Caenorhabditis elegans: one gene and its partner. The protein of the gene in region 2 purifies or fractionates together with the protein of the main gene of each other region. This does not show direct contact. Each region holds a gene or a part of one and is shown on either strand. Other genes may lie near its edges. The genes, in order: R03H10.2 and F54D5.4.

Evidence for each region.
Region 1: the proteins of F54D5.4 (region 2) and R03H10.2 fractionate together in Caenorhabditis elegans (co-fractionation; one large-scale study listed by BioGRID). This does not show direct contact.

Annotation. Positions count from the first base shown.
Region 1 is NC_003280.10:4,153,678-4,158,880, reverse strand, and holds the start of R03H10.2 (uncharacterized protein), read right to left. Parts: upstream 3,109-5,203; 5' UTR 3,107-3,108; coding exon 2,942-3,106; intron 1-2,941.
Region 2 is NC_003280.10:11,567,602-11,571,535, reverse strand, and holds F54D5.4 (DUF19 domain-containing protein), read right to left. Parts: upstream 1,719-3,934; 5' UTR 1,718-1,718; coding exon 1,660-1,717; intron 1,490-1,659; coding exon 1,256-1,489; intron 1,213-1,255; coding exon 1,121-1,212; intron 814-1,120; coding exon 718-813; intron 673-717; coding exon 592-672; 3' UTR 532-591; downstream 1-531. Other genes in the region: F54D5.23 (Ovule protein), read left to right, coding at 2,294-2,368, 2,501-2,581.

The DNA of each region.
Region 1 (5,203 bases), 7.4 Mb from region 2:
AGCGGAACAGGATTTCAAGTTTTTCAGACTGAAAATAAGTCAAGTGAATCTTAAAATGTTTTGGAATATTTCTTTTCTTCCTCCTGTCCAGTCAAGAGAATCTTCTGGGGTATGAAAATTTCAAACACCAGCCATTAATTTTCAAAGTTCAAGTAAACGAGATTCTCATGAAATTAGAGAAAATTATAGGGCAAAACTGCGCACAAATTGGCTCGGGCTTTTGCAGGAAACCCGATTTTTTCTGGAATAAAAAGTTTCAATTTGATCTTTCAGCCGGCAATTATGTTGGTCAAAACAGAGTAATTTGGAAATTGTAGGCTTTGAAATTTTGGAAGGTTTGACGAGAATTCAGAAAAAAAGGTATCAAAAACTACAAATTCGGAAGAAAATGAGGCCGAGTTCTTGGGCTTAGAACGTTGGGCAAACCCTTGACGTTTAGGCTTAGGCTTAGAATTATGCATAGGCTTGGGATTTAGGCTCAGTCTTAGGCTTGGGCATATGTTTAGGCTTGAGTTGAGGCTTAGGCTTAGTCTTAGGCTTACGCTGAAGCTCAAACTTAGGCCTTTAAACTAGGGCCTTTAGATTTAGTCTCAGGCTTCTTTCTTCACGGTTACTATTAGGCTTAAGCTTGGTTCAAGACTTTTGGCATACACCTCATCCAAAGCTGAGCTTTGATTTTTTTCAAAAAAACGTTTTCCCATTTCTAGAAACATCAAAAGTTCTGCTCCCTTACAGTACCCCTTCTCAAGCAAGCTTTGCTCGAGAAACCTCGTGGTACCCTTTTCCCCTCCAAAAAATCTTGCTGATTAATTAGCTCCTATGACTCCTCTCTATTCATCTTCTTCTGACTTCTTCTTGTTCACCCGTCTCTCGCCTCATGACCATGCTCGGTTGGATGGATAACGCGGGGCGGAGCCAATTATCACCAGAGCACACGGGTGCCTATATAAGCAAGAGCAAGAGAACACACTGATAATACTCTAATCTCTTGAGTTTTTCAAATTCTTCAATTGCTCTAATTTCTAAATTCTCTACAAAATGTTCCACATCAATCAAGACATTCTCACCAACGTCGATGCTCACCGCTCCCCAGCAGTCAAGGCTGCAATCCAGAGGACTATCGAGGAGAAGCGACGTGGGTTCCGCAGATGTGTATCTGCATTTTATTAAGCTTCTTGGAAAGCTCCTCTATGAGCCCTAACTGTTCTAAATATCTGTACAAAAATCTACACAAGCCGCCTTCACGGGTCTCTCCACATTCGAACTACTATTTTTTTCCGGTTTTGTTTTTTAAATGTTATTTTGTTGTTTTTTCTTCATTGTTTTTTGAATTGTTGTAGACTCTAGAAACCCTTACTTTCTTTGTATATATTGAACCAAAATTGACATTAAAGCTTCCAAAAAAAGTAATAAATTACATTTTTATATATCAAAAGTGTCTTGTTTTTTCTAGGGATTTTCAGGGTTTTCAGATAATTTCAGATGCTTAAAAGTGAACAACAAGATGAAAAATTCATAACAAAGAAGCGAGAGTACCGAAAAGTTTCAGATTTTTTCAGATTTCAGAAATTTTAGGAACAGGACTGGCTAGACTAGGGCTAGACTTATGCGTTGGCCATAGGCTTATGGTCAGGTTTAGGTCTATAGCCATGTTTGGGCCTAGGACTAGATTTAGGCCCAAGACTAGGCATTAACCTAGGACTAAGGGCTAGGCTTAAGGCTAGCTCTAGGTTTAGGCTTTGAGCTAGGCCATCAGGATTCACAACTTCGGTTAGTAGATGTTAAGCATTTCAAGGTTGCAAGAGCTGGCACTTAAGCTTCTAACCTAAGTATGGTCTTCAGATATGTATTTAGGCTTAGACACCTGCTTATGCCTAGTTCTAGGCTCAGGAGTAGGCCTAAACCGAGTCTCAGGTTTAGGACTACCACTAAGCTAGCTTTTTCTAAACTATATTTTTCACTACGAAAAGGAGAAAATCCTAGTTTGTAGTTAACATATTTTTCCGACACAGACTCACAGATTCAAAGATTCAATTATTTCTCTAATAGACCATATCACTATTCGAACCCAACTTTTCTGACTTCCTCTTCACTTTTTGATCTAACAAAAACTTTTGATCTATCTAACTAGCACCTATTCATAATGTATTTACAGCTGCAGAGGGTGTTTATTAAGAATAACCGAGTAATCAGGTCATAGATTCTTTTGAGTTCCCGAAACATTTTGTGATTCAGTCAGATTTGGTTCTAAAATTGAGTTATGAGTCAGGAAGTATTTTGGGAATCCGAAACGTTTGGGCTTATACCTTCAGGCTAAGGCTTGGGCTTTTTTGCTTAGGACCCTAGGCCAAGGCCCTTGGGATTAAGTCTTTCGACTTAATCCCAAGGGCTTTTCGACACATCCCATCCAGGCTATCAGGCGTAGGCCTTCAAATGTAGGCCTTCAAGTTGAGTCTTTCAGGCTCAGCTCTTTGGCTTAATATCTGTAGACTCATGCTTCAAAAATTCACTCTTCAATTTTGTCTTTTCGAAATTTCGTTTTGCAGTTTTCACAAGGTTTCGTGCATTTTTGTTATTTATTTATTTGTATACCTAGTATCTCATTAGTAATAATCTTTTTCCAGTTAAACCAAAAAAAAAATTTATAATCTTCCCGGAACCCCCTTCCCAGCTTATTTTAATCCTATTAATAATTCGGTTTAAAGCTCAGTGTACCGGAAAGTTCCAATCCCAAAAAAGTTTGAAAATAAGCACACAACATATTTCTTTTTGCAAAAATGTGAAGCAGTATTCATGTGCATATAATCTTCTTTTTTTTCCTTTTTCGAAACAAACTTTTTCTCATATCCGGTTCACTAAAGATAGCAGATGGATTCCGGCCAAGTGTGACCGCGGTCGGATTTTGAACTTAAATTTTTTGGGGAAAATTTGAAAAACTAACCGCCACTGCCAATGCCAGTGCCATAACCAAAAACATTCCGACAGATTCTCTCCAAGTCTGTGCGCCTTTAAACGTGACTTTTGGGTTATTCGACACTGTCCGAATCGGTGGAGCAGGGGGTAGTTGAGGAGGCGTTTTTGGCTCCGAATCGAAATCGAAATCCATTTCTGCAGATAATTTTGAAAATTAACTGTAAATACTTTTAGCAAAGTTGGAATAAAAACTTAAGGAACAAAAGACAATGTGAAAATAAAAAAGAAAAAAACAATTTTTTTTCTAAAGAAAAATGTTGCAAACGTTGTTTGGAAATTTTTTTATTCAATATCGAAATTTCCAATTCCCGAAATTTTACATTAAAATCTATAAGCCTAGAAGTTTACAAGCTTAAATAAAATGCGTCATGAAGTTGTTAAAAAACTATAGTCTTTGCAACAAAAAAAACATTAAAAATTTAGAGAACAAGCCTAAGTCTAAGCCTAGCCTAAGCCTAACTCTAAGCCGAAGCCGAAGCCGAAGCCTAAGCTTAAGCCTAATCCTAAGCCTAAGGATAAGCCTAAGCCTAAGCGTAAGCCTAAGCGTAAGCCTAAGCGTAAGCCTAAGCGTAAGCGTAAGCCTAAGCCTAAGCCTAAGCCTAAGCTTCACCATAAGCCTAAGTCTAAGCCTAAGCCTAAGTTCAAGCCGAAGCCTAAGCCTAAACCCAAGCCTAAACCCAAGCCTAAGCTTAAACCTAAGCCTAAGCCCAAGCCAAATCCATTCCTGAACTGTCCAGCTAATAAAAAGTATGTGTTAACAGCTTCATAAATCCAACAACCGACTAGTGAAAATGTGGTAATCTATCTTCCGGAGAGAATCTACTTCAGGTTTCCAACGTCAAACGCATATTAGTATATACTAATACGATAATAGGAAAACGAACGGAATGGAAGGGAAGAAGAAGACAGGTGGTAGTAGTGGAGAAGAAGCATCAGGAAAAGAGAAGAATATGACAAAACGGGAGACAGGCTTCTGGTACTAACCGACAGAAAGAAGAGAGAGAGAGAAAGAGACCACCTGCAGGGAATATACAGTCAAAATCTACTTATCGCACTTTTATGGGTGGACATATGTGTGTTCGGAAATGCATCGCTGGTTTGTTGTGTGAGGCATTCCGAAAAAGGAACATGTAAGGTTTTTGAGGGAGAGAAATGAGTCAACACTTAACTTTTGTGAGATGCGTTTAGAAGACGAAAAGGGAAGGTAATGAAGGACCCGAGACAAGTAAGGTCACTAGGAATAAGGTGGAGGGGTACACCGGAAAACTGAAACATAGAAAATAGAAAATTGCCTTAACCCAAAAAATAGAAAAAAAGTTTCACAAAAATCTCTGAAATTTTTGAATTTAGAAAAACTCAAGTATTAAACAACTCCACCATCTTGTAAATATATTACTCAGACGCAAAATTGCAAAATTTTAATTAATTTTGCAATTTTCCGCCAAAAATGTGATACCCGGCCTCGATACGACTAATGTTAGTTAAATGCCAAAAAGTGTGCGTCTTTAAAGAGTACTGTAATTTATCTTTTTGGAATTTTCATCAATTTTCAGTTTTGTGCACTTATTTATTTTTTTGAAAAAAATGTGAGAAATCTATGTAAATTAAATAGAAAAAAACACTGCAGAATTTATTTAGGGTAAAATTATAGTACTCTGTAAAGACGCATAGTTTTCCGAATTTGAGAAAATTTGTCGTTTATTGTTTTTTTCTCAAAAATAGCAAACTTAACGTCCGGATAATGTTTTTTCGTCATATTTGAATTATTATTTTTTTTTTAAATTCTTAAACAAAATTGGTATGTAAAATACAAATAATGTTTGAAAAAGTCAACAATTAAAAAGAAAATTCAGAAATTTTTGGCTTTCCGCTAAAACACCCTAAAATGTTACACCAATATTATAGAAAATCGATAGCTTTTATAAATTTTTAATATAAAATGTCTTCTTCTTACCTAATTTAACAAAAACATTAATGCAAATTCGCTCCGCCGACAATAAAAGATTTCAAATTTCACACGAAAAAAAAAATCAATAAACACACAAAAGTATGCAAAATCGAAAACAAACGAAGATAAAAGTCTGCGACCTTCGTAAGTATAATTAATGCATAGTGCCCCCTCCCGTTCGGGATAAAAGCGGTAGAAAGGTGTGTTAGTAGTCTGTGGTCCCTTGGTAACCAGAAAAAGAGACATAGAAGGAGAGAGTGGGAAATTAGAGGTAATCGGGTT
Region 2 (3,934 bases):
CTCTCACAGTTAGCCTAGACTTTGTACCTTCTACAAGTTAATTCAGTTGACACCGAAAAATATGACGTCATATGGAAGAGGTTTTCATGACGTCATGATTTATCTGAAGCGCCAAATTTCCGCATTTTCATAAATAAAACAAAAAGAGCTACTGTCTAACATTAACCTCATATTGGCAATACTTACAAAATCGAATATTTCCATCGTTATGTCCAGGTTTTTTCTCGAAAATGTATATTGAGAAGCTTCTCAAAACTGGCTCAAACTGCACATTGCGACTTTGAGTCAGTTTTTCAGCAACTTCTTGAAATTTTCAATTAAAATTTGAACTATTCTCAGAACTTCTCAATAACTCATTAGAAATTACGAAAAAATTCGTACACGACGATGAGAAAAGGGAAAATTGCAACGTGGCAAAGTGTGAGCAATGCGGAGACAGTTTTTGACAGAACTTAAAATTTAGACAGATTGGTTTTTTTTAATATTAAATTGTCAAGTTTCTCCTAATTTTTTCATGCTTAAATCAAAAATTTGAACGAATATTATATTTATTCTCTAAATTATCGATAAGTTTGTCCAAACTACCATAGTTTAGGACATATCAAGTTTTGCCAGACGAATAGTAAAGATATCAGTGTCAGAAACAGAGTCGTAACTGCAGAAGTTCATGTCCTGAAAGATATTTCAAATTCAATGAGATCTAGGCATATTTCATACCGGAGTATAATCATCAATAGCGAATTCATTGAATTGAATGCAAGTGATCGCCCATCCTGGACGATTGAGGTTGAGCACCAAGGTGTTGACAATGTTCTGAAAAAATTGAATGTAAGCCAATTTGGGGATCTGATCTGATTTGAGATCTTTCCAATTTAAGATTGAACTTAATGTTTGACATGATAAGAATTGATTAATATTCTGAGTTCTGAGAAAAAGACTAGAGGTAAGGCCCCACAGGAAGGCCTTATAAGGTTAAGTGTGTGAAATATTGATTATTGGTCAAACCGTAAGCTAAGCTATATATTGGTCTGAATTTTTTGAGGTTGCAGGAAATATTATGATTTGGAGAATCAGGATTTCAAAGTTTCCAGAATTTCGAAGCTGAAGTCAAATCTCAAACCTTGCAATTGCTTCTCGTAGTTTTCTGAAGAGCATTCTTGACGTCTTGTCTCAAAACTGGATCTACACAGGACTTTGCATTTGGATCCTCGTCTAAACAAAATTCTATTGAAATTTCATTTTTAACTTCTAGAACCTCTTTGTCTAGCAAGTTGATGCAAAGCAATTACTTCTTTAATCTCTCGTGATCTCTCAATTCTTGTGCCATTATTTCCAGACATATCAACTTTGCAATTTTGAAGAGCAGTTCCAGTATTCAAGCATCCTTCAAAGCAATAGTATTTGGTGTTGAGTCTAGTTCCTCCATATGCGAAATCAGAGACACCTTCGGCAAGGGAACTGATCCAATAACCAGTGTCGTCAGTACAAACTGGAATTTAAAAGATTCGAATTTGAGAGGAGCTAAGCCCTAACCATGTGGAAGTTCTGAACCTTTTTATGACAAATTCATGGTAACAATTTGCGACCTAAACATGTTTTGGCTAAACTTAAATGACAAAATGAGTTTATTAATTCTTAAATTCAAGAAAAGAAACTCACGATTTCCAGTAGCGTATCCGACTGCAAAGATCAGCAAAGCAGAAACGATTTGGTTCATTCTACAAAATAAGATAATACTGTATTTTTCCCGGAAACACTTCCAAAAACGGAAGAATTTAACCTTATAAGAAAATAATTCTAACAACGGGTTATATTCCGAAAAATTGACAATATTGGCTATGGTGGGCGCTAGGGGCCCTAGTCACCCCCGGAACATCTAGTAGATGTAACGGTGCATTCAAAGTTGGAAGAATACCTTTAAATGGCAGATTAAGGAAGTAAAACATTAAATAAATAAAGTGCCCGAAAAATATAATAAAGTGTTCACAAGGTTGAAAAAAAATCTTCTGTATATACAAAGGAAATACTATTTCAACCTATTTCGCATTGATAAACTAGGTTTTTTTACAAACTGATATACATTTTTATATGGAAACCTAACGATGATTTCATTATTCTTATCTAAGTGGCAATTGAAGTTTGGCTGATTAAATGACATTTGAAAGAGGTAAGGGTTTGAGTTGGTGCAAAAAATCAAAAACATCATCTATATTTTTTGAAATATTGTTTAAAAAATGGTCTTATTTTTTTTTGGCAATTGATTGCTCCAGCAAAAAAAACGTGGAATACCGTGATGGATAAAGAATTGGAACATCAGATGCCTGTCGAGCACTTGGATCAGGCTGTTGAGCCAGAACGTATTGTAGAGGTCAGATCTATCAATAAGCGTGGATGTTTCTAGTACTGTCAAAACTTCAATCAAATTGCCGAATACTTTCAATTGTTGCCTTTTCAATACAGGAGTTAGCCATTATTAATTGAATCAATTTTTTTTTTTTAGCATCTCAATGGGATACCTCTGAAGTCACCCTTTCCATCTTCTTCTTCTCACACCTCAAAAGCAAACAAATACCATCTGTGAATTGTGTCTTTTCCTGTGTGAACGACTACCTTCAATTAGTCAAATCGGACGACATACCGTATACACCTGTTGAGTAGAATAAACGGTAGCCGCTAAAGAGAGTGAGCCCTTCCGCGCGGACTAACAACAGCTGCTCATCGGAAAAATCTCTCAGCGATTTCATTTTTCATTCACATAAGTTATTGTTTTGTGAGGAAAGTTTATTTTATTGTTGTTTTTTGTTGTTTTTTTTTGCATGAAAATTGAATTCATAGAATACCCAAATTTCCTAATGAAACACTAAAATTTCCTAGATTTTTGGCAATATTTAAATAAAGTTTTGGTAAATTACCAAATTATCAAAATATTGGTATCTTTTTTGAATAGTTTCGAGTGCAACAAAGGTTAAACCAAATTAAGATATAAACCTTGTTTAAACTTCTTTGAACTGTGGTAGGCAAAAACGAAGTCTATTAAAAAGTTCAATTTTTAACAATTAATTTTTCTTGTTGAAGAGATTAATTGTGTTATTTTGTGATTTTAGAACTATAAAAGTGGTTTTAAGATCTTTAGATAACAAAAATCAATATTGCTACTTACCAATAACTAATGCTAACTTGGTACATAGATAATATCTTGCTCAACTACACACTCTAATTCTACTACGTGGTTCAGTTATACCTCCCGGCTACCGACTACTGCTCCGTTGCAATCACCACCCTTTGTTCTGGACAGTTCAAAGGATCAATGCCGAACGTTTATTTGAATTGCCTTCAGCGGCGGTTATTTTTCTGTTTGCTCGTACTTTTCTGTCAGTGTGTACTGATTTTTTTCAAAAAAAAAAAGATGCCAAAATTGGTAGTTTGACCGGTTTTTGAGTGATATACTTTGGGCAGCTTTGCAATTTTTCAAACGTTTTCTACAAAAGTTATAGTTTAGTCTCATTTCACTAACTATTTATTTTATTAATTTTCTGACAGAAAATATCTTCTAAAGTTCAAATTTCTTAAAATTTTAAACAAATTTTCAGGCTACAGTACACGCGTTCAAGGCGTGGTGGGGCCCACGAAATATTGTCTTGTCTAATTGGCCAATATTCAAAATTTAATTTAAAAACCATTTTCTTCGAATGTTTTTTCCTCAAATAAGTTCTGACGGAAAACATATTATATTTGTTCATGAATTCCAGATTCTTTAGCATCTAGTTACGTTACTGTAAAATCTCATGTGTTTGTATTCTAGAGAGGTCAACAGATTCCTCCTGCTTATTTTCAAACTCGGATTAATTTGCATTTGACATCTATCATGCTTCTCATGCTTCTCATGCCCATTATACCCTTAATGTCATATCCGTCTCCTCCCGAGGCGCGCGTT